2 linked regions of the Alligator mississippiensis genome follow. The main gene of each other region encodes a partner of the protein of the gene in region 2 in a complex. Links are inferred from orthologs where the notes say so. Each region holds a gene or a part of one and is shown on either strand. Other genes may lie near its edges.

Region 1 (6,650 bases), on a different chromosome or scaffold from region 2:
GCTTTTTTAAAGCAATTTTTTTTAAATTATTTCCTTGCTTATGTATTTAAGCCAGTCTAGAATCCTCAAATTATTTTATATACATCTCTAACAACTTCTTCACAGGTAATTGTTAGCTTATTGTTTCTACCATTTCAAGTACATAAACTGTCTTTTTTTTCTTCCAAGTTTGTCAATTTTAAAAGTGATACAAATAAATACAGAGCTTGGGAGTAGTTCCTTTAACAGCTCTAGACTGTTTTATGCTCAGGGAGTATCCAAAACATACAACTGTTTGTGTACAATGTCTTTGCCAGAAGCTCCTCTTGACATTTACGTTCCATGTTCTCTTCTCTCCAACATTAAAATAATAATTTTCATCTACCTAAAAATATTTAAAAAACCCAAAACAAGCCACCCTTATTTCTTTTGTCAGATTATTTATTAAAATTAAATACTAGAAAAACAAAATGGTATTTCTCTTCAGCTTGGTTGTATTTTAGAACAGAAATGCGGATACCTGGCTTCCAAAAATATTCCATTTTTTCCCCGGAAGTAAGACTGTCCAGTTAAACATACATTTGATAGAACTGTTGGGTCTTTTTCTAAAATGCTAAGGAGTCTTTAAGGCAACAGTCAGGAGTGCTGAATTTTTGTCCGTTTTAAGGGTGGCTCATCTGAATGTGTTTTGTCAACATTGTTTTCTTCCTGGTCCTCATCTTCATCCTCTTCCTCTTCCCCAACATCACCTTGTAAAAGGTTACAATACATAGGTTAGTAACAGAAGAAGTGTTTGCAAATCCATGTTTTGAGGTGAGGGAACCAGAGGGCTCTGAAGACGGAGAGTCTCTAAATCAGCTGTTCTCAAATCTTTTTAGACCCAAGGCACCCCTCGGAAACTGGCAGGTCTTAGTTTGCACTAGACTACAGAAAAACACTAGAGCAAATTATCCTATTACAAAGTACTCAAAAAGACCACAGCAGGTCAGGTTTCTAGCACCATGGAGTCCTATTAGCAACCTCTGGGTTTTTCTCATAGAAATAAAGGGCTGCAAGGGACCTCAAAAGATTACCAAGTCCAACCCCCTATTCTGGGCAGGAGTACTGCTGAGATCAAATGATCCCAGCAAGGTGTCTGTCCCATCTCCTCTTGAAGACTTCCAAGGTTGGGGACTGCACCACCTTCTTGGGAAGTCTACTCCAGATTCTGGTGACCCTTACCGTAAACAAGTTCTTCCTTCCATCCAACCTGAAACCATCCTCTAACAGTGGTTTCCAACCTTTTTAAGTAGGAGATCACTTTTTGAACTAAAAAACAACTCAAGATCTACCATGTGCCACCCTCTCCCCCCACAGGTCAATCTATGGGGAAGGAAGGGGAGGAACAGATTGAGGCAGAGAGAGAAAAAATGATTTGGGGCTGTGGCTCTTCATCAGGTAAGTCTGTGGGGGAAGGGGCAGATCAAGGCCCCCCGCAGCGAGGGAGGGACCAGGGCACAGACAGGAGCAGGGGTTGGGGGAAGTAGGGCCCTGGCTGGGCCAGGGCATGTGCCCTCCGGGCCTCTGCTTGTCCCCCCAGCTCCTGCTTGTCCCCTGCATATGCCTCCCATTCCCTCCTAGGCTGTGTCCCCCCACCCCCAGACAAGCCACTTACTGCTCCATCCTGTGCCCTGGCTGTTCAGGGCCTTCCCCTGCCCACTCCCTCAAAGCCCAGCCCACAACGACAGCTGCCTCCGCTGCGCGCAGATGCAGGAAGCATGTGCCACCTGGGGCCTCAGCTGGTGTGGGTACAGTGGTGGGAGCCCCCCTACGCTCCCTGGACAAGCTGCCTGGGCTCTGGCCCTTCCACCACCTGCCCAGCAGGGACCCGCTCCGCTCCGGGTTCCGGCACACGTTACATTTAGGACGCGGTGAACCAGGCGCTCCCGCACGCACCGAGCGCCAGGGCCGCGAGCAGACACTGCGCTGTTCCTCAGCCCCCGTGCCCCGAACGCGCGAGCCGCGCCCCCCCCGCTCACCCTGGGCGCCCCCGCGGGGGCCGGCGCCGCTCTCCTGCTGCACCAGGGGCCCGAGCAGCGCCGCGACTTGCTCCTGCAGCTGGGCCAGGCCCCGGCGTAGCGCGCGGAGCTCCCCGCCCGCCCCGACGCCGGGCTCGGGCTCGCAGCGCACCCGCAGCGGCTGCCTCAGTCCGTCGCGCCCCGTCAGCTCCGCGCGCAGCTCCATACCCCCTCCCCCTCGCGGACCGGCCTGGAGCGGCACCGCCCGTAGCCAATCAGCGCCCGAACTGCGCTCCCCCGGAAGGCGTCATCACTGGCAGGCCCACGCCTAGGTCCAACGGCCGTCAAACTGCTCGTCCTCCGGCAGCCAAGCCCCGCGCACCACCCCTCCTCGGTCACGTGGCGGAGGCTGGCCTACCCCCTCGCGTCACATGCCGCGCCCCTCCCCCTGGCGTCCCATTGGCCAGCCCCGCCCCCTCTCCTTCTGTGACTGGTTGCCCAGAGTGTCCTCCCCTCCCGTCCCGCCTGGGTCACATTCCGAGTCCCCGCCACCGGCTGCGTCACGTGACGGGTGCGCGGTTCCGTTTCCGCCGCGGCGCCCCCTGGCGGTGGTTCGGCGTTTCCCGCCTTGCGCGCTCGGGTCCAACGATGGAGGAGGCGGCGGCAGCGGCGGGGGGCGCGGATTCCGGCGGTGGCAGCGGCTGCGCGGGTGCCCCGGACGAGCCCGTGGTGTCCCTGGCCGAGGTGCTGGCGGAGAACGAGGAGCTGGAGAAGGAGGCGCGCGCGGTGCTGGGCGGGAGCGACCACGAGCGCTGCAGCTACTCGCAGGTGAGGGGGCGGAGCGGGGGCAGGTGGATAGTAACGGGGCGGGGCCTGTGCCCGGGGAAGGGGCCTGTGCTGGGGGGCGGGGTAGGGAGAGGGTTGGAGGGGAGTCCCCCCCCAGTGCCCCGATGTTGAGCTCTGCCCCCCCCCCCCCTGCTCACACGCGCCCGGCCAGGGCTCACAGGCAGGATTGTTGGCCCCTGGGGTCCCTGTGGAGGGCTGACGGCTGGGGAGCCATCCCCTGGGTGTGGTGGCCAGGTGGAGAGAACCGGGGTGCAGGAGGCAGGGACAGGGGCGTGTGGGGCCCACGGCCCTGGTCTTCCCCTGCTTTTCCTCCTCCCTGAAGAGGGAGAGGTGACCGCCAGGCTGGTCAGTGGGTGTCGTGTAGCTTGTGGCAGAACTTGACATGCCACAGCCCCACCTCACATCTTTAAAGAGCAGAGAGAGAGGTTGTGAGCTGGGGCAGTGTGAAGCTAGGCCGAGGCAAGGGAAGAGGTGCAGCTGGTAGATTGGGGTGGCCAGCCTGCAGCACAGGCCCTAGCAGCCCCCGTGACAGATCAGGGAGGGGACGGGCAGCGCCGTGGCAGGCAGGGCAGGGAGCAGAAGGCCATGCAGGGGTTGGGGCTGGGGCTGGGATCAGAAAAATTGGGCAGGGGAAGAGGATTAAAGTGGCACTTGAGGAAGTGGCTGAGCTATTTTGAGGCCTGCCTGCAAAAAAGGGTCGACCTGCCAGGGAGGCTTTAGTAAGCAGTGTTTTTGAAGAGTGCCTTGGAGGTCAGCCCTTGGGACTATGAGATATTATTCATAAAGTTTTCAAGCATCCTGTATGGGTGTGCATATCACGTAAGTGCATAATTAGCTTAATTGTGAAGCGCAGGGTCAGTCCCAGTTTATTACCTGTTACTTACATTGAAACGATCATCAGCTATTCACGTATTCGTTAAAAGCATTAGCTGCTTAAGTGCATGGGAATCCTCTGCTTTGTAAGTTAGTTGCACAGGGTTTAACTGCATGATCGAAGCTGGCTGGGAGCTGTCCATTTCGAGGCTTCTAAGGCAAGCTCAAGCCTACTAGGCCCTGCCAATTTTAAGGCTGTTTGTTTATAAGGTGTTTTGAGAAACAAGATAAGAAACCTTTTTGAGGTGCAAAAAGTTTAGCTCACTTGCTCCTGTAATTAATGAGTAATTATCGACATTGAGATGGGGGTAAATACGGACCCTTTTATCAGTCCCAACACTGTGCAGTTAAACGGGGTGCATTTGCACTGTGAATGCTGTCATTCTGTTTTGTAGCAAGGTTCTAGCGTTTGAGCTGGGATTCTCTTCAGAGAATGAGAGAAACAAGGTTTGTTTTGCAATATTTTTTATTGAGATTCAGTAAGCTTTCAGGCACAGGGTTTTATGGGACACTAAAACTATGGACTGAACGCAGACAGTAGTTTTACAGCTTATGATTTATTTGCTCCCCGTTAGTCTCCCCCCTTTTGCCTGGTATTATTGTGGTGAAAATAAATGGTGAATCTAAATAAACAAATCTATATATTTATAGGTTTATTTCAGCTGCCTTTTTCTTGGTTTGTAGCTGCTTTTGATGGCTTCCTTTAATGCCACAGGCTTACTGCTGTCTTCCCTTCCTTTAAGTCTCATCAGCAGGGCAGGGTGGCACTGTAGAGACCAACTCTTTTAAAGAGGCATGAGCCTTCATTGGCAGCAGTCTACTTTGTCAGATGCTAATTACCTCTCTACTTATTAAGTGCTGTTGTTTAACTCCATTGTGTAAATGAAAAAGATTCTTGTTTTACCTGGTGTTTACTTCAGGCTGTACGTACCTGCTGTTTGCCCAGAATTGAAGACAGGCACTTTGTGCACAAAAGCTTGTCTAACATCTTTCCCCACTTTACGGTTAATTTAGTAAAAGATACTGCCAAATAAATACTGATTCTCTCTGAACCTCTGGTGCTAGCTTGCACATCAGCATTAACTTGCTTTTTGCTTATGACAAACTGCATTTACTACTTCAGTCAAACAGCAAATGACCTTTTTCAGATTATTTCTGTGCCTCTCTCTCTTTTTATATCTGTTGTTTCTTTGTAGGGTGCTGTAAAGAGACAAGCTTTATATGCTTGCAGTACTTGTACTCCGCCAGGAGAAGAACCGGCAGGGATATGCTTAGCCTGCAGTTATGAGTGTCATGGAACACACAAGCTGTTTGAATTGTATACAAAAAGGTAAAGCACTATTGGGGCCATTTCTGAGGTACTTCCATTTACATCACGAAGCAGTAAAATGCAATATTGAAGATGGCGTATACCTGTAAGTCTAGGGACAGAAATGACACACAAACCGGTTTAAATCTGTAACAGCAGAAGTTCAGTGCACATAAACCACATTCAAAATGGCCAGAACTGGTTTAAGATAAACCAGTTAAGTGATTTAGGTTACATTGGTTTATCGTGCTTTTGTCCCAGATCCCCTCCAGGTTCAAGTCAACTCACAGTCGCTGTCTTTCAAACACATATGCTTACCCATAAGCCTAAGAGTATTCTCGGCAGCAATAATTACATGGGCCGGAAGAGTATCCCAATTGAATAGTGATTCTACTTGACAATGATACTGAAATCTGACAGGCTGTTAGCATGAGGGAGTAATGCTGCTGGACTTTGATCAGTTCTAAAAGATGATATTGTGAATTAGCTTATGAGAGTATGTTCTAGTTCTCAGCTGGCAGTGGGAAGCCCTTAAAAATATAAAAATAAAATCATTTTGAGACATTTAAAAAAATATCTGAACTGCTATATTTTTTTTTTTCCAGAAACTTCTGCTGTGACTGTGGAAACAGCAAATTCAAAAATTTGCAATGCAGATTACTTCCAGTAAGTTTAAACATTGCTATCTTCTTCATTCTGTAGAGAATAATAAAAGCTGGTGGTAGTATTGCTTCTCCAAGTAGGAGAGTTTAGTTGTGTTTTTTTCTGTCACAAAAACCAATGTACTCTCAAAAGAGAACTGATTACAGAAGCTATGTTTAAAATGGGTTCATTGCATTGTATAGAGTTAAGATTTGCACAGCAAAACCAGGACTTACAGCTGTTGCTAGAGACAGGCTATAACTTTTAAAATCTAGTTTTAATTAAATTCTTTGGGTACCAGTCACATAAGTTGGCTAAACTGGGTTAGCTTGTGTACAGGTCCTAAAGAACATGACTTAGAATGGTTTTACTGTTACCAGTAAGCAGAGTGAGGTGTTGAATTCCATTCTGGAAGATGGGAAGAACATGCGGTTCAGTAGACCCTACAGCACTGAATCTAAAACACTGGTAAAATATTGAGAAGTATGGGCAGAACTGAAGGTTCAGAACTCATAGGTTTGTTTGGATAAAATTGTAGTGCATTGATTCCAGGGGTTGGGCTAAATCACCGTTTCTCAATCTGTGGGTCGCTAGAATATATGAAAGGGAGGGTTGTGAACAACCTGTAAAAATGGATTCTCCTTTAAAGAAAAAAATATGAGAAGCTGTAGCTTTTTCCTTGCAGGCTGTCAGGGTTCCAGCCTGCAAGGGCATGCTTGGGGCCCCCTCTGTCCCACATACCCACCCCCTGCCCTGCACACTGCAGGTCAAGAGTGAGGGGCACTGGGTCAGGACTGGCCATCAGTGTTTACAAATGGATCCTGGTACAAAAAAGGTTGAGAACCACTGGAGTAGATGATCTCTGGAGGTCCCTTCCAGCCCTACTTATCTATGGTTTTATGATTCTCAGCCAGGGTGCTATAGCACCCCAGGCTGATGCAAAACCCTTCGAAGGGTACCCTGAGATGCGAGGAGATAAGCAGGTATGAGGAGATTAGTGCAGG
Region 2 (7,743 bases):
TTGCAAGAATTTAAGCATCCAACACATTACACTTCCTCCACCCCAAAAGGGGGAAAATAATCACAGAGAAACACACACTTAATTTCAGGGCCTACTGACCCTATTCATTGCAGAAAAGGCAGAGAATTTGTTCTTTCTAGGAATACAAAGATACACAAAATCACCACATAAACCTCTGGATTTCTTCACTATTTGGCCATTGGAATGTTTTGTTCAAAAAGAGATGTAAAGTTACTGCATTAACAACAACATATAAAGCAAACTCAAGAAGCTGCCCAGAAAGAGGTGGAAAAGGAATATTTAGCCTATATATTAAAAATGGCAAAATGAAGTAACGAAATTCCAACAGCTTCTGAGGAACTGTGACAGCAGACAAACATACAAAAAATACTAAGTTCCAGAAAATGGATTTTGATTTCAGCGAATCAGTAAAACTCCACCCAGCAAATATGTAGACTGGAACTAATACATATTTCACAAATTCATGTCTTTGAAAGATTTTTCTCCATATATAGAACGTGTAATGCCTGTTATCTGCAAGCAGATACTTATGAACATAGGTAAATTTCCAGACCAGGAATAAAGAAATGGCAATTAGTATACCATAGTGCATTGGGTGCTTTCGTAATGACTGAAGGAAATTTCCAATTTTACAAGGAGTTATTAAGTAAGGAAAGGAAAAAAAGAGGGTAAAGGAGAAAAAGTAGAACAGCTGAGGGAAATGCAAGCAGGCTTCATGATTACTCCTGTCTCCAACAACTATTCCTCCATTGATGACCACAAAAGTAAAAAATGCACTTACTGAAAGGATATATGGCCAAATCAAAACTACAAGTGCAACAAGGTTTTTAAAGGATATGATGTACTTAATAAGGAACTGTAGTATTCTGATTATTTCTGAAAATGATTCTTTCGTAGATGAAAACTTTTCTTCTTTCTTTTTCATCAGTTCAGTCTTCCATGCTTCATTTAGCCTTTCTGCAACAACACTTCCCCCACAGAAAATAGTCCATACAATATTTGTCTGACGAAACATAAAGCCACAAAACCCAAGCAGGGCTGAAGTTTTATGGTTACCATAAAGGCACATCAAATATGAAAAAAGAGTAAAAAATGTTGATCCTGTGTCTGTATAATAAAGGAATGTAAAAAAATAAAGGGTAGGAAATATTGCAAGAGTTAATGTAGATAATATTCTCTGGAAACCAGACACAGCCTAGAGAAGGGAGGGGAAAACAAAATTAGTAGTATTACTTCTATTGAAGAACAAAACACACCAGCAGTCAAACAGTCTATTCTTTAGAGTTTTAGTACCATAAAATAACATTTCTTGTGCTCTTTGATTCCGCTTTTTATTGTAACAGTGCATACCTTGCATTCTGCTATGCTAATACAGAGCACAAAACAATGAAATAGGAGAAGGATCAGAAGATTGCACACTATTGGTGCTGAATTAAAAGTGAACTGCACAAAAAACAAAATGACATTAACATAACATCAATATTTCAGGTCTCTATATAATGACTATTGTGGTTCTGCTGCTGAAAATACTCAAATAATGTAGAGTGGTTCCCTTGGATTCACTGTGTATATCTGAGTGGTCCCACTGAATTCACTATGCATTCACTATACACATACAGGCACACTGTGAACTCAGTAGGACCACTCAAATATCTTAGCATTTTCACAACAGAACCACAAAAGCTGCCACCATCAAGGCTCAGGGGACAGCATTCAATTATTAAAAAACAAAACAAAACAAAACAAAACAAAAAAACCCACATAATTTTCAACTGTTTGGGGAGGATTAAAAAACTCAAAAAACACGTGCTCTACTGGAAGCAGCAGTGCGTTACTTTGACCCGGCTCTGCAGCGTCTGTAGAAATCGGGTGCTTCGGCTGGGTTTTTTGGCACTTTTAGCTAAAGCCAATTCAATCAGCTACTAGATAAAAGCTCCAAAAAAGCCCCACTAAAAGAGCCCGCTCTCTACAGACATTGGGAAAGCTGGGTGCAACTAACACGCTGCCTCTTCAGGCCATGTGCTGCGCTTGGTGCAGGAGCACACTGAGTTTAAAGTGCCATTTTTGGGGGTTTTTCCACATCTGCAAGCAGTCTTAATTCATATCCTCTAATTTCAGCTCCTTCTCACATCCCAGAATGCATCAGTCCACAAAAAAACAGTTACTATAGCCTCCACTGAACCTGAACCATAAAGGGTTAGTTTGGTTTCTGATCTGTGATAGTTTCCTTTAGATATCTTTCCAAAAACATTCTGCTCAGCTACAAGTGAAGGGTTTTATGCAGGCCTGTCCCATGCAATTCAGACTAGATGATGGTCCCTTCACATTATACAATCTATGACTATTAACTTTGTGCACATAAGCAGTCCCCTTAACACAGTGGTTCTCAATCATTTCAGATTCAAGACACACAGTGGAAAATGCCAGCTCTTAGCTTTCCCTCATTTCTTTAACTACAGAAAAATAATAAAGCAATGCTTCTGCTGCAAAGACCTCATAAAGACCATGGCACTAAGAACGTTTTTGATGCTCTAGATTCCTATGTGAAATCTGTGGGTTTGTCTTGTGAACTGTGTGTAGGTATGTGCAAACCTAAGAGTACCATTATTGTGCACCACTGTAGAAGGATATTGCGGTACCCTAATTGAGAATCACTGAATTAATTTCAGTGGGACTATCCATGTGTATAAAGTTAAACACAAATGCCAATCTTTTCAGGAACAAGCTTTAAGGAAAGCAGAAAAATCTGTGTTTAAAGAAAAAGACATAGATCATCACAGCAATGTGAACTGGCAGTATGATTCAAGTATCTGTATCTGGATAAAGCTGATGATAATTCAAACTCCTTGCAACATAAACTAAGGGCCTAGGCTATTTTTAAAGCTGTCTGCATTATTGTACATAACTTCCCTAGCTCAAGTGTAAAGGATTTAGACTGTACCTTGTTTTTCTGATGGATCTTGCTCAAAAGCAAATACAGCAAGTAGAAGTTGCCAACACTGAAAAGGAGGTTAATAAACCTGAGCATTCCTGTCGAGCACACTACGCTTCCAGACCATCCAAAGAGCCATGCTGCAGGCTTCACTATTCCAACAGACACCAGGTATAAGCCAGGTAATGTAGTGATCATAGGGTCCCACTTCAAAATGAAAAAGATACGGGGGTTAAAGGAGTTGGAAAGTATGAAACCACACCAGATATAAACAAGAAAAGCTTAAGAAACCTAAGTCTCTAGCTTCATTGAGATGCATATAGAAAATCATTTGCTCCAAACAAGCTTTATATATCATAAACCACCCTACCTGTACACAAGGAATACGCTCCCACTGTGCAGGTCACACACTTAAATGTGTTGCTCACATGAACATACATACAGGTATGGCACATACAGGTATAAGCCAGTGTTTCCCAACCAGTGTGCTGTGGCACAAAAGTGTGCCATCAGAAATGAACAGGTGTGTCACGAAACTCTGCCGTGGCACTGAGCTACACTAGGTATGAGGATGGGGAATGCCTTAACAGGTGTGACACAGCAAATCTGTATTAATGTAAGTGTGCCCTTGGGCTGATAAAAGGTTGGGAAACACTGATATAAGCACATGTAACATGCACACGTAGTGCGTGCACACATAGCACAAATATGTATAGTACGCATGCACAAATAATTCCCACATATATCGTGTGTGCATATACGGTGCCTATATATATATATTAGTGCACACACAAATATGTAGTGCATGGGGGGGGGTGTAGATAGATATATATAGACAGTGCACACGTGTATGTAGTGCACGGGGGGGTGTCAATAGATAGAGCGCACACACATATATGTAGTTCACAGGGGGTGTAGATGGATATATATATAGTGCACACATGTATATGTAGTACAGATATACATATAGTGCACACGTATATGTAGTTCATGGGGGGAGGTGTAGATAGATAGAGTGCACACACGTATATGTGGTGCACAGGTGTGTGTGTGCCCACATACAGCATGCTCAGAAACTTACCAAATACACATGAGGTGTGCACACACACACACACACCTACCTACACCAAGCATGCACACGTAGTGCCCCCACACAGTACACATATGCACAGCGCACATGCACACACGCCCGCGGTGCCCGCGCTGTACACACGTGGCGCACACGCTCGCGTTGTACCGACGCATCTCCCAGAGCAGTGCGCGGCGCCCGCGTCCCACCCCCGGGGCAGGCGGCGGCGGCGGCGGCGGCGGCAGGGCCGAGGGGCCGGGCCGGGCCGGGCCGGGCGCACCTGGCGGAAGCGGGCGGCGCAGTAGGCCCGGGCCTGGGGGACGTGGAAGGTCTCATCCATGTAGGGCTCGCGCTGCCGGCGGTTGATGGCGGCGAAGAGCAGGCACGAGAGCAGCAGGGCTCCGCTCAGCGCGGCCCACAGGCCGAAGCGCTCGGCCCGCTCCATGGCGGCGGGGCGGGGCGAGGGCGGATCCGCTTCCCCGAGGTGGGCCGGGCCCACGATGGCGGCGCACCGGCAGGAGCTGGAGCTATTCCCCGGGTGCGGCGTGGCCCTGGCCCTCTTCCGACACGTCCGCAACGCGGCGGCGCTCCGGGGCGCGGCCCTGCAGGGCTCGGTGGCGGCCGCGCTGCTCAGCCCGGCCCTGGTGAGCCCCGCCCGCCCGCCGCACTGCCGAGCCCCGGGGCCAGGCCCTGCCCCTTCCCCCCGCCGGGCCGGGCGGCCTCCCTCCCTCCCTCCTGCGCACAGCCGGGACCGTCCAGCCCCTGGGCAGCAGGACGGAGCAGCGCTGCCTGGCATCGATGTGGGTCGGGCTGGCTGTGTGGGCCACTTGGTCTTCGCGCCAGCACGGGGGCCCGCCTGGCCAGAGCAGGCCGTAAACCCTTTGACGTTGATCCATGCTGTGGCCAGCAGTGTCTTGAATGAGTCGCGTTTTTAAAAAACGTCATTTTGAACGGTTTTCATGTCCGTCTCATGTCTGGGCCCTTTGCTCTTATTTCAGTCCGTAAATATTTTCAACGTCCTACCTGACCTTCTGGCTCATTTTATGGGAGAGAAATAGGAGTTCATGAAGGAACCGTGGGGCTCTGCTGCTGGATTAACCTAATTTACATTGTTTGCTATGGAAGCATGTACTCCATCCTTATTTAAGCTGTTTTCTCACTGGGGGCACATCTACACATTCAGTTAATGCAACTGAATATACTTTATCTTGGGCAAAATGCGGCCCGTGGGCTGGATGCGGCCCGCCAGCCCATTCTATCCGGCCTGCGGGACCCCTAAAAAATTTAGAAAATTAATATTTATCTGCCCCGTCTGCCTGCCATGCGGCCCTCAATGGCTTGCCAAAACTCAATAAGCAGCCCTCCGCCCAAAAAAATTACCCGTCCCTGCTCTAGCTCAATTTGAGCTGGAGTAAACTAATCCCAACATCACAGTCTAGACATGTGTTTAAGTGCAGTAATTTACTGCACTGCCAGATGCCACTTGTATCTCGTGGGACTGTCCAGCAGCACAATCAATTAGTCTACTGCATCCTAATTGCCATGCCCCTGTAGATGGTGATGCTTTACTGCGCAACATTTGTCTGCTGCACAATAGAGCGTCTCTTGTAGACATGCCCACTGAGCCATACCAGTGACTTAAGTGGGACAATGTGTTGTCCATTCAGAATAAGGCTTTCAGAATTTAGGGTAGGTAGGAGATCAAGAAGTAATGAAGAAAAAAAAAAAGTGTTTCTACCTAATTCAAAATTGTATTATTTAAATAATCTTTTTCTGCTGTTCTGTTCCACAGATTGTTGATCCATTTCAGATACTTGTGGCAGCAAATAAAGCAGTTCACCTCCACAGGATTGGTAAAATGAAGACCAGAAGTCTTTATGCAGAAATTATTTTCAACCTCTCCCCAAACAACAATGTAAGACTTTGCTAAGCAAATACATCTGTCACCGGGTGCCAAAACCCACAGGGACTAATTACCTTTCTTTCAGGCACCTGGATTCCAAATGAAATTCCGTGGCCAGTGTTGGGTAACTAAGTTCTCCATGAGTTGTGAACCATGCTAGTGGTGCTCAACCTCCAGCTCACAGAGCCATGCCCTCTGGCCTGTGGGGCTTCTGCAGGTTCTGGAAATCTGAGGGAGCAATGTTAATTGCTTCCAGAGCCACCGTAATTAATGCTGTTACTGCTCCCCTACCACCATGCTTCCAAACCCATGAGGAGCCCTGCTGCCCACATGACATAGCCTCATATCCCAGATTGCACCAGTGGATGGTTGCTCTGCAGCTGGATCCAACACATGGATTCAGAGTGGTGTGCAGGGTCACACCACAGCCAAATCATCCCTGCATATGTACCTGGCACACCAACCCCACACTGAGTAGATTCGAGTCATAAACACACTGGATTCGAGTCATAAACTGGGCCCATGAGCAGGATCCAGTCTGCAGGACCAGAGAGATTGAGCACCACTGTTTTATACAATGATTTAGGGGGGTTTAGAAATCTGGCAATGGAATTCAAAAAATCCATATTGAACCTGGATTTCTTACTTTCTACTTAAGTATTCATACTATTGGGCTATTACATAAGAGGTGGACATCTCTTTTTATTGCCATGTTTTTAAATGCAAATGGCAGTGGCTGCTGTGTTGTGTGGTGTCTCTGTGTGTTAGCTAAACAGGTCTACCAGATTGGGCCTGCTGGTGGATTTATGCAAATGAACACCTAGTTTGTAGATCCTAAATCAGTGGTTCTCAATCTTTTTGGACTCAAGGCACCCCTCCATAACTTGTGTGAATTGAGTGGCACTCAGTTTCAAAACTAATATATATTACAGTGCTTACTACTTTGCAGAGGAGGTGGGCAACTGGGGTGGGGGGTCAGCTAGGTAGGGAAACACCTGAGTTTGCGCTTATCTGCTTTCCTCCTCACACCTTGGGCATCCTTCAGAAGGTGCTGCTGCCATGGTCCCTTGGTTGAGAATCACTGTCTTAAATGGACTTAAAGAGTGAGATAAATACTGAGCTGTTGAGCCCTACCAGAATGGCAGCAATTCGGCACAAGGCCAGTCTAGCAGAACTCTTGGTGCTTACAGAGCTTTAATGGTAAAAACTTGGGTGCCTTTGGTCTTTTTACCACCGAAGAGGTTATGTGGGAGCTTTATGGATCTAACTTTTGGAATTTGGTGCTTGAATTCCAGCTGCATCCCACTTAAGACGCCTAAGTACTTTGGTGCACCTGGACCCCAGCACCCCAGTAAGGCAGCTAAAATAGTAAAACTTCTCTGGTTACACTTCAGTGCATGCCTACCTTCCAGTGCTGTGCTGTCTTCTCTGTCGCATCCATGACAATCAGGAATGTTGATTCCCCAGATTTTCTTTTTATGCAGTCAAATTCTATAATCATTTTTCTTTAGAAAAACTAAAAACAGTTCTCTATGAAAACTGTAGAATACTTTTCCAGCCTATATTTATTCGTTTGCTACACTTGTAAGAGCATTAAACTACTGAGACATTTCATCATCAGAGGAAACTACTGTCAGTGTTTGAAAATAACTTGAGGCCTTAATGTTAATAATAAGACTCATAAACTCTAAGAAAAAGTGAAAAGCCTCTGTTTTGGTTTGTTCTGATGTTGGGAACATGACTTACCAAAGTAAATTCAGATTTTATTAAGCAGTTAGCCATAACACAACAAAACAGCTAAAAGTTTTAAAAACCATC

Evidence for each region. The genes of interacting proteins can lie anywhere in the genome.
Region 1: TPRKB (region 2) and GON7 share a complex: the UniProt entries of both Homo sapiens proteins name them as parts of the EKC/KEOPS complex. The link is inferred for Alligator mississippiensis from reciprocal best matches to the Homo sapiens genes TPRKB and GON7.

Annotation. Positions count from the first base shown.
Region 1 is NC_081825.1:276,407,875-276,414,524, forward strand, and holds GON7 (EKC/KEOPS complex subunit GON7), read right to left. Parts: upstream 2,375-6,650; 5' UTR 2,203-2,374; coding exon 1,998-2,202; intron 729-1,997; coding exon 616-728; 3' UTR 593-615; downstream 1-592. Other genes in the region: putative E3 ubiquitin-protein ligase UBR7, read left to right, coding at 2,625-2,804, 4,892-5,025, 5,610-5,670. UniProt on the Homo sapiens protein: Component of the EKC/KEOPS complex that is required for the formation of a threonylcarbamoyl group on adenosine at position 37 (t(6)A37) in tRNAs that read codons beginning with adenine.
Region 2 is NC_081827.1:30,117,792-30,125,534, forward strand, and holds the start of TPRKB (EKC/KEOPS complex subunit TPRKB), read left to right. Parts: upstream 1-4,522; coding exon 4,523-4,666; intron 4,667-5,814; coding exon 5,815-5,937; intron 5,938-7,743. Other genes in the region: ALG10 (dol-P-Glc:Glc(2)Man(9)GlcNAc(2)-PP-Dol alpha-1,2-glucosyltransferase), read right to left, coding at 161-1,216, 2,963-3,160, 4,303-4,467. UniProt on the Homo sapiens protein: Component of the EKC/KEOPS complex that is required for the formation of a threonylcarbamoyl group on adenosine at position 37 (t(6)A37) in tRNAs that read codons beginning with adenine.